2 linked regions of the Notamacropus eugenii genome follow. Each later gene encodes a partner of the first gene's protein in a complex. Links are inferred from orthologs where the notes say so. Each region holds a gene or a part of one and is shown on either strand. Other genes may lie near its edges. The genes, in order: CTNND1 and cadherin-like protein 26.

Region 1 (7,541 bases):
CTAGCCCAGCTTCTTTTTCCCCATCATGGAAATAGTAGATAGTTAATAGGTTTTCCTTTGATGAAATAAGCAGGAATATTGTGTACTTTAAACCAATATGGAAAAGTAAAATGAGGACCTTGAACAAGATGAAAACATTGTGCCATTTACTAGGGTTTGTTTGTTTTTTTTAAACTACCCCCTAGAAATGGCAGCAGTCTTGGCCTGGGAAATGGAAGTAAAAGGGGAACCTGCTACCAGAAGAAGGATATAATGATTTCTTCAGGGCAACACAAAGTCTCTTAATGAGCCCGTAGAGGTCCATTTCTTTCCATCTATTCTATCTTCTCTTTTGAAAGACTAGTTACATTCACAAGACTGTCACCTACATCTCTTCAGGGAATAGGACAACCAGGTTTTAATTTTAACTACTTGGAACTGGTAGTAGAAACTCTAAATTCCATGTCAGATAAAGGCAAATTTTATAATTCCATTTCTCTATGGCCTAAGAAAATACAATTATGGGATTTACCCCCAATTCAGTTCCAACACTGCTAGAAAAAATAGAAGCCTGACAATACCCTGCCTTCTAGGAGATTTCACAAGAACAAAGGTCACTGGATCACTTATCAAATGGACCATTAATACAAAGGTGAAAACAAAACATAAAAATATGCCTACTTAGCCTACCGCTCAAACTGGAGGGCATTCCCCTCACTTCCAAAAGAGGAACCCGACGGTACCCTTCTCTGGAGTTCCAAACCTCCTACAATTCTTGAATATAGGAGACAGAAGACAAGTCTGCTTCCTCATCTAAAACAGGCCAATGACAACATCTAGAGCTGCCTCCACTAACTCTGGACCAGAGATTTCTTAATCTGGGGTCCATGGACCAAAGAATATATTTCAAGGCGGGGGGAGGGGGGTCTCTGGGGGAAAAGTTCTGTTTTTACTAATGTCTAACTAAAATTGGCATTTCCTTCAATTATTAATTTTTAAAATTATGCTGAGGAAGTCAATAGGCTTTATCAGATTGCCAAAGGGGTCCCATAGCACAAAAAATGTTAAGAACCTCTATTCCAGATACTTACTTGGATCCTACCATCACTGTGCGGTGTCCATCCACCAATCACCACTACCCAGTCTTCAAAAGCCTATTTTCCATTTTCAAAATGTCTTTGTAATCTTTCTCAACAGATACCCACTTAAAGGTTTAGAGGGATAATGGGTCAACTAGCAATTCTGATCAGTCATCCAAAAATGTATTTAGAACCTCAGGCTGAAGCCAAGGCAGAAAAAGGGAGATGAATAGCGTCCAAATTCTTCTAGCCCTATTCAAATAAAGACACAGTCGAAAGGGCTGAATCAATCATCTCCTAGGATATTCCCCATAAATGTGCCATCCTTTCTTTTTAAATTTAGACTGCAGAGTCAAGGAAGAAAGAATTGATAAGGCTTATAGGAACCACTCCACTTTGGTCCTGGCATAAAGAAGAAATTCCATTTTATTTTGAAACCCCTAAAGCAAGTAACTCCCTCAACACTCCAGTTTTGCATGCAAAAACATTTTCAGGGAAGTTTTCTAATTAAAAAGGGAAGGAAATAAACATACATGGAACTTTTAAAGGTATGATAGTTTAGGTACTAAAGGCCACTAAATTAAGGCCCATCTTGTTGCAATTAGGTCAAGAATATAATTGCATGTATAGTTTTTAGAGTAGCTCTGATTGTTAAAAGGGCAAAGGGAGAAGAGGAAGTCTAAGTCTTTAGCTAATGATCTGACTACATGATCATCTAAAATTTTGTTGAAGTACATATAAAAAAGTACTTCACAAATAAAAAAGATTTAAAACAAGGGAGGGGAAAGTCAGTGGCCTACAATGCTACGAAAGTTCTGATCTTTTAGGAAATCAACTAAAAATCTACTCACCTACAAAACTAAACTTCAGTTTTTTAAAAATATTTTTCCTCTTAAAATTCATCAAATGAATTGGAAATTCAAGTGTGTAACAGTTTTCTGTTCACCTTGTCTAACCTCTCATTTCTAAATAAATAAAAAGCTAAGATCATTTCTAAACTATTTTTCTCCTTCACTCAAGTAAACTAAAAGACCTCCTAATTCCAAAACTCTCGTAACAGTTTTTGCAGATTTTCGGAAGTAGGGGTGAAAGTCTTATCAACTTAAGGTAGTTTTAAGAAAAGGGAAATGTAGTCCATGAGAATCCATTTGTTTTCTTTTAAAAGGCAAGGCAGCAGGGCCAGTACAAGAGAAAGAGGCTCCCACCCACTGCACCTGGAAAAGTAAAAAAACGGGATCCACCCAGGAACATGAGGCTGAAACAGAGTACGGGAGTTTAATCACACTCTTGGGTGGGGAGCGGGGGGAGAGGAGTGGGAAGCCACTACCACAGCTTAAGCTGCAAATCTCCTTGCAACTTTCCACGTCCACAAACAGGGCAAAAAGTAAAATAAGTTTTAAAACATATGAAAAGCCATCTACGAAACCAGCTTTCGACCTGAAGACAAATTCCTGTCTCAACCCACACAATACACCAAAACCCAACTTTGAGAATTTTGTTACCAAAGGTTATGTAAATATGTTCACTTAGACCTAGAAAGCAATGAACAGTCAGAAAGTACACCAGCAGACAAATTCACAGGACTGCTCTTACCCCTCAGGAGCTGCTCAACTAGCTCCCAGCGCTGGAGACCCAGAAGTTTTTCCTTCTCCTTGCTGTTTTGCTTTGAAAAATAAAATTAAAAGTAGCAAAAATTGAGAGGAAAAAAATGTTTTAAAATTAGCCAGCCTAGCTGAATTTCTCCCAAACATCCAGCACCTTTTGAAAATCCCTCTAGTTAGCAAAAATTAAAAATTCAACTAGATAGCCTATCATTCCCCTCCTCTGGACACATTACACAGACACAGACACACACCTCGTTTGCAGACTTCTAAAAAACAATCCTTTACAAAAAGGAACCCCAATCCTTGCCAGTACTGCCGAAAAAGACAAGGACAATAGTGTATTAATTTTTCTCCACCTCTTTCTCCTTTACGGCTCGTTCCTCTTCTTTCTTTCCTTCTCTCCCTCTTCTTTTTTTTTCTTTCCTCTCAGATCCAACACCTAAAATGGAAGTTGCACCCAGCCAAAGGCAAGGGAGGCTGGGTGGTGACAAACTGGTCTGCCAGCCCTACCCCCTCGCTTTCCTAAGTGATGTCAGCCTTTGAGCACTTCCAATAGAAACCTGGCATAAATCAGGGAGCTGACCTTATCCAATAGGAAACTTTATTATAGGAATTAGAAAAAAAAAAAAAAAAAGAGAGAGACAGAAAAAGACACAGAACTTTTAAAAATACATATGCATATATATAATATGTATATCTACATGTATATTGCAAAAGCAAAGGATATACAATCCTAGAGGAAGTATGGCAAGGGCTGAGCCTGAATGGAAAAAAAGTGTTTAGTTTTTTGAGTTTTTAAAAAAATCATTGCATAGAAAAAAGCTTAAGCTATTTCCTGAGTTCTCTTTGAGGATGGGACTGTTGAGGATTTTGCGTATGTCTCCTCAAACCCTTTCCCCCTGCTTTCAGATTGTAGGGGATGTCCAGGCATCTGTCAATAAATAATAATAAATAAATAAGCTGTCGATTTATATATCGATTTTTTTTTTGTTATTAACTATGGGGGAGGGAGAAAGAATGAGACTGTACTTAATCCATTTATGGGGAGACTGGGAGGGGTCTTCTTTGAGGTAAATCTCAATTCCATTGTTTTAATTTTTTAAAATTGAAACTGATTCCTGGGCTGAATAGTTTCTTTAGTATAATCGGTCTTTGTTCTTCCAATCAAAAAATGTGTGAACCATACAGAATATAGAAGGACAAGTGATGTAGACTAAAAAACTACCCAGATAAATCAACTGAGAAAATCTCAGAAAGATAACAGTATATGTTTTTTGGAACTGTTGGCAGAGTTGGCCTCATGATTGCTAGTTTATCTCACACTGGACTACACAAAAAACTGTTTACATTCCTTTTTTTTTTAAACATATTGATATGTCTAGCATAAATGACGCTCTTAAAATGTCAGGTCCTAAAGGGCAGGGGTTGTTAAGTTTCTGGTATAGAATCCAGCACACAGAATTTAATATTCACTGAATATTAAGTTATGTGAGTTGAAAACTTCCTTTTCATTCTGAAAGGAAAAAAAAATCCCAATATCTGCGAACAATAACTGACAATTTCAGATTAATTCTACTTTCAATACAGGTTTTCTCGTCAGATTTCTCCCCACCCGGTAAAATCTTTTAGCAGCACCCTAGGGGACAAAGTGCATTACCGTGGGCCCAGCCCTTCACAATCTCACCCCACCCTACCTGCCCAAGTTTATCTCATAGATCCCAGGCAAGAACCCGCCCTGCCAGGAAGGTTAATCTTGTCACTATTCCTAGAACAGCCCCTCAATCATTTCGGCTCCCACGGCTAGACTGGATATTTCCCTAAACTAATTTTTTCTTCCTTCTTCTCAGACACTCTAAATCCCAACCATCTGTCAAGAACCAATTCAAGAGTTAGGCCCCACCTCTTTCACAAAGCATTCCTAACTATGCCATATTGCTCTTTGAACCCTGTATAATAGAACCAACACACGAATATTAAACCTAGTCCCATAGTGTGAAATGCCTGGGCCTAAGATTTTTTTTACAGGAATGGGGAAAAAAGCATGACAGAAAGGAATGACGACTTGGATAGGTTTGAAAAGAACAGTATGAGGATTTCGTTAGATAAAGGAACATAGGACTGAGAGCTAAGGAGACCTTAGAGATCATTCTAGGGCACTTTTATTTTATGAAAGAGAAAATTGAAGCTAAGTTAGTAAAGTGAAGTGAACTGCTCAAGGTCACAAATTCTTTAAGTGACAGAGCATCCTTAAAATCCAGATTCTTAAGATTCCCAAACTAATACTTCTGGTTGTCTCCTGAGAAAGAAATGTACAAATCTAAAACATAGTGAAATGGCAATCGATAAACAGCATTAAGAATTGATAATCACAATACATTGCACATAATAAGCAATAAATGTTACTTGAATGATTCACTGATATCCTACTAGACCAAGACGGCTGCCTGGAGAAAACAGAAAATATTTAAAGGAAAACAGGATATGACACCGTATATTACTGTACTTAAAAAACTGCTTCAGATTAGCTCAGATAGAAGAGGTCACATGAACTGAGGGCTGTCTCATGAAAGTGCATAACAAAGAAATCTGTTTAAAAGTGGCTTTATTTGAAATTTCCAAGTTAATCTGCAGAGAATGAAGAGGACATTCATGAATTTGTAAATAACATTAAAATAAAGACACATAACAGATCACCAAATAAACACGGTAACAAAAAAATTTAATTAAATGTATCTAACCTGCACTTCTAAATAAAGATTGCTAAGCACTGAGTGGAAACCACCTCTATATTAAATTAGAAAAGAATGAGGGGTGGGAGGCTGCTTCATAATATCTTCTATTTCTTCATCTATATACATGTTTTATTCCCCCAAAAGAATGTAAACTCTTTTTTCTTTTGGTCTTTTAGACCAGGTTCATCGCATATAGCAGGTGCCTAATATCTGCTGAACTGGATTAAATACAAAAAGAATCAAAGTTGTATTACGAGCACATACAAATTCTCTGCTTGAGTCTTAAAAATACACAGAATATATTTTTCATTCAACTTCAAAACTCTCTAAGGCTTACAGAACCATCACCAACAGGTACACAGAATGATGATTTAAATTGGTGAAGTAAAGATTAGGAAGAAATTTTAAAAGTAGAGAAAGGACTGATAAAAATAAAATAAAACAAATAAAATAAAATCACCATCTATTCATCTGCATATAAACAACTATACTATATTAGCCAACTCTGGAAATCTACATTAAAGAGATTAATAGCAAGAAGTAGAGATTAACAAACATTCAATCTGAAGAAAGCATTGGATAAATACATACACACAAAAAATGCCCTTTTGGTTACTAGATATCACCTAAAACGTATGATTTTTGAGATCCTGAGAAGGGCTATGATGTGCCATTTCCTTTAAAAATTCTGCTGACCCGGGATGAAACTGTAGTTATGCTAGCTAGGATAAAAGTATAAAAGATGACTGTTATAATTCTTGGTACTTCGCTTTGCCCTCATAGTAACGTTTCCAAGAAGATAAAGCAAAGATAATCTTAATCTTTGTTCAAATTTCAACCCTATCTCGTCACTGGAATGCCACTGTCTGAATCATCTAGGGATACTACAGTGAGACATTATAAACATTTAGGGTTCTGTCTTATGTCTGTTTTTTCCTGCTGGCTCCATCTAAATCCATCCTCCTTCTGTTCTATTTCCTCTCAATTTTCCTGCTTCCTCAAAAAAAAACCAAACTCTTCTCAGATTGATATTCTCAATTTGGAGAAATTTTTGAAAATATTGATTACACAATGGAAGAGACTTTAGAGATCATCTAGTCCAACGGTGTTAAACTCGAGCAGGATCCCTGTGGGGTGTATATTGATTTTGAAAACCACAAATTAACATTATATTGTACTGTATTTTTATTTTTTTTAAACATTTCCTTTTTATCTGGAGCACTTAGAGGCCATAAGGTTACTAACTTCCTTTTACAAATGAGGAAACTGAGGCCTAGACAAAGCAAGGTGTCTAAGGTTATAAGATTCAAATATAGATAAGTCATAAAAGAGCAGTAATCACAGCAATTAAATCAATATTACCATTCCTCAGAGCACCTGCCAGTCATCAGAAAACCCCTCTGGGGCCACACAGTCCTCTGTGTGTACTGTCTTCTTCTATCGACTCTTGGAGGACCGAGAGCTTGCTCGCTTATATATATTTTACATTTATATATATTTATATTTTAATTTTATATTTATATCTCCAGCACTTAGCAGCAAGTACTTCCTTTTTTAAAAATTTAATTAAAATTCCAATTCAAGCAAGCTGCCTCCCATTCTAATTCCTTTTCTATTTCCACCTTGTTCCCTTTTCCATTCTGCCCTACATACTCACCCTGGTGCTTTGATCTCTGGACATCTCCCTTTTCTATCAGCAGTCCTCCTCCAGTGAAGCCGCACCCCTGGGGATGCCTGGATCAGCCTTTTTCGGTTTCAGCCACACTGCAGGAGACAGAATCACAGAATGTCAGAGACAAGGCACCTTGGAGGTGGCCCAGGCCCAGGGTTAGAGCTAGAAAGGATATTCCATTTCCCCTTAAAGTGTGGCCTGGCTCCACCCACTCTTTTTACAGGTGGAGGCTTCTGGCCGGAAACGGCATCCCTGGAGGGAACCCAGAGAGCCAGTGGCCTGGAGGGAGGAAAACCAAAAAGGGCTGGCTGGGATCGTGGTCCAGCCACTTAACTAAACAGAGAAGAAAGCAGGGCCAGACTCTTTCACCATGTCGTCAGAGACACCTTGGACCCAGGCCTTCCTAAATGCGCCCACGTGAGGGGGAGGAAAGGGGCCACCCCACCCTCGGAACCTGCCTCGGAAGGATCCTGGC
Region 2 (7,900 bases), on another chromosome or scaffold:
GATTTGTCTGGTTGTTACTGCTTTCTTCCTCCTCAGATTGTCCTGTATCTAATATAAAATTATCTCATATCTAAATCATCAGTGTACATGCTCTTTCTCTGTCATGTAACATCAATTCCTTAAGATCAGGGATTGGTTTGTTTTTGTCTTTGTAAACTCAGACATAGGAGGTGCTTAATAAATGTTTCTTGAATTAAATTGTGTGGATACAAAGGGGATACACGGATCTGTATAAAATACAGAATATAACACAGACCTGGTTCTCAGTGAAGTTATAGTAGAGTTAAGGAGATTAGGATGCATGGTATAGTCAAGGGGAGCAGTGCCCTGCAATAGAAAAATTCTGGCCTAGGTATCACAAGACCCTGGTTTTAGACCTGGCTCTTCCCTTTACCTACTTTTGTGCAATGCAACTCACCTGTCTGAGCCTTAGTTCCCTCTGATGTAAAATAAGGAGGTTGGGTTAGGGGCAATGTGTTATAGTATATATTTTACTTGATCTGGTTGGAGTCAGGACATTGAAAATGACAAGAGTGGAAAATAGAATGTCAAGTTCAGGTAAGAGCTAGCATGACAATACCTTGCATAGAGAATATGTCCAATAAAAACTTTTCAAAGATTTTGTTTTCATTTAATCTAACTGAGATGGCAAATTGTGTCTGTGATATTTGAGTTTTGTGACCATGGGCTGGTCATGTACACGTCCCAAGCCTCAGTTTCCTCATCAGTAGAATGGAGATAAGAATGTCTTTAGTATCTTACTTCTCAAAGTTGTTTTAAGTCTTAAATGAGAGAAACTGTGTAAAATGCTTTGCAAATCTCAAAGTGCTATCTAAAACCAACTATTATAATTATAGGATCATATACCTAAATCTAGAAGGGACCTCAGAAACCATTTAGTCTAAATTGTTCATTTTACAGGTGAGAAAACTGAGTCCCAGGGAGGTTATGGCTTGCCCAAAGTCACACAGGTAGGAAGGGTCAAAAAAAGTCAGCCCTCTTTTCTCTTTTCCACCTTGCTTCTACTTAACAATAAGTCTCTTGGATCCCTTTCTACATTGCAGTAGAAGACCCTTTGCTTTCAGATGATAAGAGTTGGATCAGTAGCACCAACAGTAAGTACTACATTAAAAAAAAATAGCTCACTGGGGAGAGGCTCAGGGGAAAGTTGAACATTTCCCTTTAGACTCTTGTACAGTCGGGATAGTTTTTAAACAACCCACGCCATTGTTCTTGCTAAGGTATGGATGAGTAACAAGAGTAGAGAAAACATTCTACCCTTGTTAACTTTTGAGGGGTAATGGAATGAAAGTGTGGGATCATCCTATTCCTTCATTCCCCTAAGAAAGAGCCAGCCAAATTTGAAAACTGTTGAAAGATTTAAGAGGTAAGGACAGACAGAGACATATAATGCCTATTTCTATTCAGGGACAAAACCCATCTTTTAGGAAATAAATTTTTCAACCATAGCGAACACATCCACACACAGAAAAAATCTTTCCAAGTGTAGAACATATACATAAGTGTTTTTACATCTGCTCTGACTTTTAGGGCCCTGGTAGAAATTCAACAAATTTTCCCAGCATATATCCTGAGGGAAATTACTGGTTTAGAGTATAGCTATCCCACCTTTTAGGGAAAATAATAAAATATGAAATCATGAGAGGGACCATAGCACAGTGGATAAAAAGCTGCCTCAGAGCCAAGAACTGTTTTCAAGTCTTGCTTCTGACACATACTGGCTGTGTGACCCTGAGCAAGTCACTTAATCTCTTATTGCCTTGGAGAACTCTGACTATAAATCACAAAGAAGGTGCCTAACTGCATCGATGAGTTTTCTCATCTGGGATTCCATTCCCTGCCCCATTTTCCATCAGTTTCTGACCCAAATTTTGCCCTTCCAGGCATCTCTAGGCTTCTCTCCTTCTTCTGGTTTTCCTCTTTCCTTTTGTTTCCCCAAATCTTGGAAGCTTCATCCAGGTATTAGTATTGTCTCTGTCCCTGGGCCTATGCTGTAGGCCCAGGATCCTAATAAAATCATTGTGAAAAATCACAATGCTTCTTTTTGAGTGGAAGGACACAATATAGTTATAGGTGCAGAAATTCAGTGTTATTGGGGGAATATTCATGAATTGTGTAAAAGATGGTTGTATTTTAAAGGAAATCTGGTTTCAGGAAAACTAAAAATTGTTATAGGAAATAAAAAGATAAAGGATTATGTGAAAAGTGTAGTATATTTATCTTTTTTTAGTATTTAACCTGAGATTGAGTCACTCGACACAGTCAGTGTGGTGTAGCAGAAAGTTTGTTGAAGTCAAGAACAGAGTAGACTGCTACTGAGTAGCAATCATTTTCTATCACCCTCTTTAAGAGACATCCCCTTGGTTCCTTGGTATGATTTGGCTCCGTGAACCTTGCTTTCATTCTGCATAAAATGAAGAAGCTGGAAAAAAATCAACGAGTCAACAGTGCAACATGGCGACCAAAAAACCTGATCTGATCTCTGACTGTATGAAGTGATATAGTGTATACAACAAGGCAGGTGATATTCCTGCTATGCAGCTTCCCCTGTTAGGTCATATTTATAGTTTCTCTAGTCTTATTCAGTGTATCAGGGAAAAAGAACCACAGTCATGCCACTTCCATTCAAATTACAGCATTGATTAATATCCTACAAACCATTGGTAGAGCTCTCACACAAAAGGAAACAAGGAAATGTGCTTCTGCTTCATAGGTACTTCCAGTCTCAAATTTGTGCTCGTTATGAGAAATGACTATACAGTGATGACAACCCTAGAGACAAACCTCTACCCAAAACCTCAGCCTGATACTGAGTAGCCTAAGGTCATTAAGACCAGAACTGTTCTTTACTCAGTGGCAAAAAGGGAACTGAAAACTGTTGCAAATACACCAATCCAGGGTGAATAAGCCCTTCAAATAGACTAAAGTTCTAAAGCAAAAAGGCTGAACATCTGCTGGCTGAGTATGATTCAGGGGGTATAATTCAGGTGTGGAATACAGTAAATGACCTCTGAAAGAGACTCCTTAAGATTCCATGAGTCTAAGAATATGCCAATTACAAGTAGACCAGATTAGGATGAGTAAAGGGGTTGGTTGAATTCCTGTTGTCAGCTATCATGCCCATGAATTTATTAATTATGCTAGCTGATTCTGTGTTTCCTTCCCTGCCCCTCATCCTTTTGGGATAAAAAGCCTAATCTAACCAATCTACATGAGGTGTATTATTTTTTGGTTCTGGAAACCATATCATGGAGGTCATTGAAAAGTTGAAAAGCATCCAAAGAAGGGCCCCAAGGCTATTGAAGATCCCATGATTCAGCTATAGGAGGATCAGATAAAAGATACACGATTGTTTACTCCAGAGAGAAAAAGACTTAGGAAAGATATTATATATTACTTCAGTTATTTGAAGAGAGGTCATGTGGAAGAGGAATTATACTTCTGCTCAGTTCCAGAGGGCAAAATTAGATATAAATGGATGGGAGCTGAAGAGAGACTGAGTTAAACTTTAGTAAAGACAAACTTCTCAACAATTAAAGCTAACCAAAAATTAAAAGAGAGGTAATTTATTCTCCTTCACTTCTGGTGAAGCAAAGGTTGGATGGCCATTTGTTGATAATGTTGTAAAGGAGATTCTTGGTCAGGTACAGGTTGGACTAGATAGCTTCTAAAATAACTTCCAACAACGAGATTCATGATTAGATGATCTCTAAAGTCCTCTCTAGCTCTAACCTTCTATAATATATCTGGATTATTGGGCATTGACCACAATCTAGATATCTTTTAGTCCTTAGAATATCTACCAAGATTTGATTTGTAAAGAGGCAATGTATTATTGTGGAAAGAATATTGGACTAGGAATCAGAGAGCCTGGGTTTGGATCTGGGCTTCACCACTGGCTGTGTAATTGTGGGAAAGTCAACAGATGTTGGTCAGAAAATATGGATTAAGATCTTAGTTCTGACACTTTCTACCTGTGTAACCTGGAACAAGTTATTAAGCTTTCTTAAACCTCAGTTTCTTCATGAAAAAAATGGGGGAGTTGAATTAGAAGATTGTTATGATAATATGACCTATCCTATCTGGTTCTTAGTTTCTTCATTTTAAAAAGAAAAGGTTGGATTAGGTGATGTCCAAAGTTTCTTTCAGCTCTAAATCCTGTTTCCTCCACTCTTTCTGATCCCATATTTGTGGCTCCTACACTTATCCATGGCTTCAGGTGGCTTTCTCTTTCTACTCTGAGATTTGTTAACACAACCCTCTGTGACCCTTTCTCAACCCCTTATTCCCTCATTTTATCCCAGAATTTACCAACCCTGGCTTAATTATGGCTTAATTTTTTTCCCCACCAATTCCCCTGAAGAATATTTACAAAGAGTAGCTCAATTGTAGGTGAGGTTCTTCTGTCAGCAAAGCTTCCTTTGGAGAGACAGTATTGTGAAACAGAAAGTATTTTATAAATTGATTTATTCAAACACAGCAAGTACTCTCTGGGCTCACTAGGCTGATTACCTCATCCTTTCAAGATTATAGGAGTTGGGATATCTCTTCTCTACTGTTATCATATTGATATCCTGTTACGGAAATGTTTTCCTCCATGGTTAGGAATCAGTGATTAGTGCCATAGTTCCATTAAACCAATTAATATCAGTTCGCATTTAAAGATGGATATTTACCTTAAAAATATGGAGATATAATAAGAACAGAAATACAAATATCCCCTCCTCAATAAATTGAGGGCACTCTCCCTCTTCTATCACTTCTGGCTCAGATTTAATGCAATTTCTACAAAGCATTGCTCCCACCAAGTTCACTTTCAAATGTGGCATTGCAGTCAGTTGAGTACTACTGCTATGCTGGGTCCCAAGATCTCTCCTTGCTTCTTGGGACAATGATGCTCAGCTGCCTGCAAAGCTCAGCATAGATTTGCCTGCTGCATCTCAGGTGGCTTATTCTTCTGACATTTTGAAATTCACAAAGTTGGAACCTCTAACATCCTTCACCTAAAATAGAAGAAAAACTGCCAAGGCAAAGAACCAAAGCCCATAGTCATGGGCCATGACTCCTCAGAAGGAGAGAGCCTCAAATCTCTCCTTTTAAAGCATTGTCTTTCACTAGACAGTGTCAGAAATTGTATCTTGATGATTTAAGTCTTTGTGGGCTCATATCAATTACATAACATGGAGAAGCACATTGAAATTGAACTTTAGTGGGATCTTTTTTGCATCAACTGAATTGTTATCAGGATATGGTCTAAGTGCACGAGTCTATGGGGTATTTATGAGGATGATTCATTTGAGATACTAGTAGAGGAGATATAACAAAACTTTTTTTAAAAAAGTAAGAAACCATAAAAGATAATACAGTAATGTCCCCCCTGAATAATTGGTCTTGGCATTAATGTTAACCACTGTTTTCCAGATATCCTTTGAAATTGCTGACCGTTCAACTTTGGAAACTGTGGATAACTCTTTATTTTTTGTTATCAAAGTTGTTGACATCAATGATAATGCACCACAGTTTGCTGGGGAAGAATTTAACATCACTATCAAAGAAAACCACAATCTAGGTGAGACCTGTTCACCTGTTGGGTGAGATTCATATTCCATTTTTTAATCAGTGGAAATATCATTTTTTATATTCTTAATATTTTGTTTTTCCCCAATTATATGTAAAAACAGATTAGTATTCCTTCACTTCTTTTATGGAGGCACCTTTACTTTGTATAGTGAAACAGGATAGAGGAAGAGTGGGAAGGGATGTGCAACTGAATGGTTTCAGGTATATATTTTCTTGTTCATTTCTTAATATTGCAGGCCTAATATTTCTTCTGATTCTTTCTGGTCCTTAAGCTAAATTTTATACTAACAATAAGATTACCTGGAAAATAATTCATTAGCATTTAGAACTCCTGGTGGACCACTAACAGCCTAATTAAAATAAGTCCAATCTACACTATGGAACTTTAATCTGTTGTAACAACTGATTTTTTTCTTTCCTTCTAGATAATCCTGTCTTTCAGGTGGTGGCAGTCGATTTGGACAAAGAGCAAACTCCCAATTCTGAAGTCTCCTATTCCCTTGTTTCACAAGTGCCGTTGATAAAAGGAAATGAGTTTTATATAGATCACAGCAGTGGAGAAATCCATGTCTCAGGATGCTTAGATTATGCGGTACTAAATTTTTTTTATTCTTTTTAAAAGCATGAATTTCTGTCTCCCACATGTGATTATTATATATGACTTCTAAGTGTGTAGGTGCATCTTTTTTTTTCCCATTCATCTTGTGTTGAGTAAATACATGCTGTGTTCAGAGGGGCAGCTAAGTGGTGCAGTGGATAGAGCACCAGTGCAGGAGTCAGGAGGACCTGAGTTTAAATCTCACCTCAGACACTTGACACTCACTAGCTGTGTGACCTTGTGCAAGTCACTTAACCCCAATTGCCTTATCCTGGGTCATCTCCAGTCATCCTGATGAATATCTGGTCACTGGATTCAGATGGCTCTGGAGGAGAAGTGAGGCTGGTGACCTGCACAGCCCTCCCTCACTCAAAAAAAAGTCAAGTGCAAGTCATGTCATTATTTCTCTGATGGCATGGTCTTCTTTAGCAATAAAGGACCAACACATACAACACAATATGTTCAGAGCACTGTGTTAGGTGTCTTGCCCTGAAAGAGTTGACAATCTAGTAGGTAATTAACATTCAAACATAGATAACTATAATGGTGTCTTTCTTAATCTACTTACACCTGTACTGTACAGACGTACACTGAATGATTTGGTACAGACATACACTGCATGATTATACGTATATATGCATACATTTAAAAACAAGTATATATTATATCTGTGAGTATGTATGTATGTATATACACACGTACACATACATATAGGAAAAAACAAAAGTTATCATTGAATCTGGGTTTTAATATTGGCTCCGCTTATTTATTATTTATATGACTCTAAGAAAGTTATTTTTTTCTGAGTCTCAATTTCCTTATCTTTAAAATGAGAGCGCTAGAAAGGTGATCTCTAAGATCTTTTCTCCTGCTGCATTCTACAGTCCTACAAAAATATTTCAAAAGATCTAGAGTTTCATTGGAATGGGCTTGTCTAGCCCATGAAAATCACAACCTTTCTAGTTAAGTAAACATTATGCATGAATTGTAGTGACCCCCAATAAATTTCATTACCTTCCAGCCAAAGTTGTTGAACCTCTCTGATCCTGGCTTGGCTGGTACTGGGACATTAGTATCAGAGTCTGTTGCTGGACTTGGCCCAATAACTTCTCAGTTTGATAGGATCTTCCAGAGCATTGCCTACAAGAACCCACATCCATGCCACCATGAAACATTGGAGGGGTCATTACAAAACAAATGGAAATGAAAGTTAAGCAACAAAGTCAATTGATTTGTTTTCTTGCCATATGTTGGGGAAACTAACTATTCGCCTCCATGCATAGGCTACCCGGTTCTTCAAATTACTGATTAGAGCAAATGACCATGGAGAGCCATCATTGTCATCCACTGCTACTGTTAACATAGCAATTGAAGATGGAAACAACCATATGCCTACATTTACTAAGGGACATGTAAGTCCAACAGCTAACTTCTGTTTTTTAATCATCATAAAGACCAAATGAGATTTGGTCTCCAGTTTGTGTCATACCAGGGTGTCTCCAGTTTTCTTGATGAGGTGGGAGGTGTCATGAAATTTGCAAAATCAAGTTGGTTTTAATTTAATATCATAATATTATGGGGAGGGGGTTACTAAAGAAGTGTGATTTGGATGTCAGGAAATAATGTCCAAAATAATAGCATGTCACAAGTGAGAAAAGATTGGAAATCGTTATTCTTGAACAACATGAGTGTATTATTTTG

Evidence for each region.
Region 2: CTNND1 (region 1) and cadherin-like protein 26 share a complex: the UniProt entries of both Homo sapiens proteins name them as parts of the cadherin:catenin adhesion complex. The link is inferred for Notamacropus eugenii from reciprocal best matches to the Homo sapiens genes CTNND1 and CDH26.

What each region holds. Positions count from the first base shown.
Region 1 is NC_092873.1:3,341,605-3,349,145, reverse strand, and holds the start of CTNND1 (catenin delta-1), read right to left. Parts: upstream 3,147-7,541; 5' UTR 3,019-3,146; exon of another isoform or gene 2,914-3,018; intron 2,722-2,913; exon of another isoform or gene 2,652-2,721; intron 1-2,651. UniProt on the Homo sapiens protein: Key regulator of cell-cell adhesion that associates with and regulates the cell adhesion properties of both C-, E- and N-cadherins, being critical for their surface stability.
Region 2 is NC_092872.1:504,831,805-504,839,704, reverse strand, and holds the start of cadherin-like protein 26, read left to right. Parts: upstream 1-4,835; 5' UTR 4,836-5,421; coding exon 5,422-5,590; intron 5,591-6,026; coding exon 6,027-6,193; intron 6,194-7,482; coding exon 7,483-7,611; intron 7,612-7,900. UniProt on the Homo sapiens protein: Cadherins are calcium-dependent cell adhesion proteins. They preferentially interact with themselves in a homophilic manner in connecting cells; cadherins may thus contribute to the sorting of heterogeneous cell types.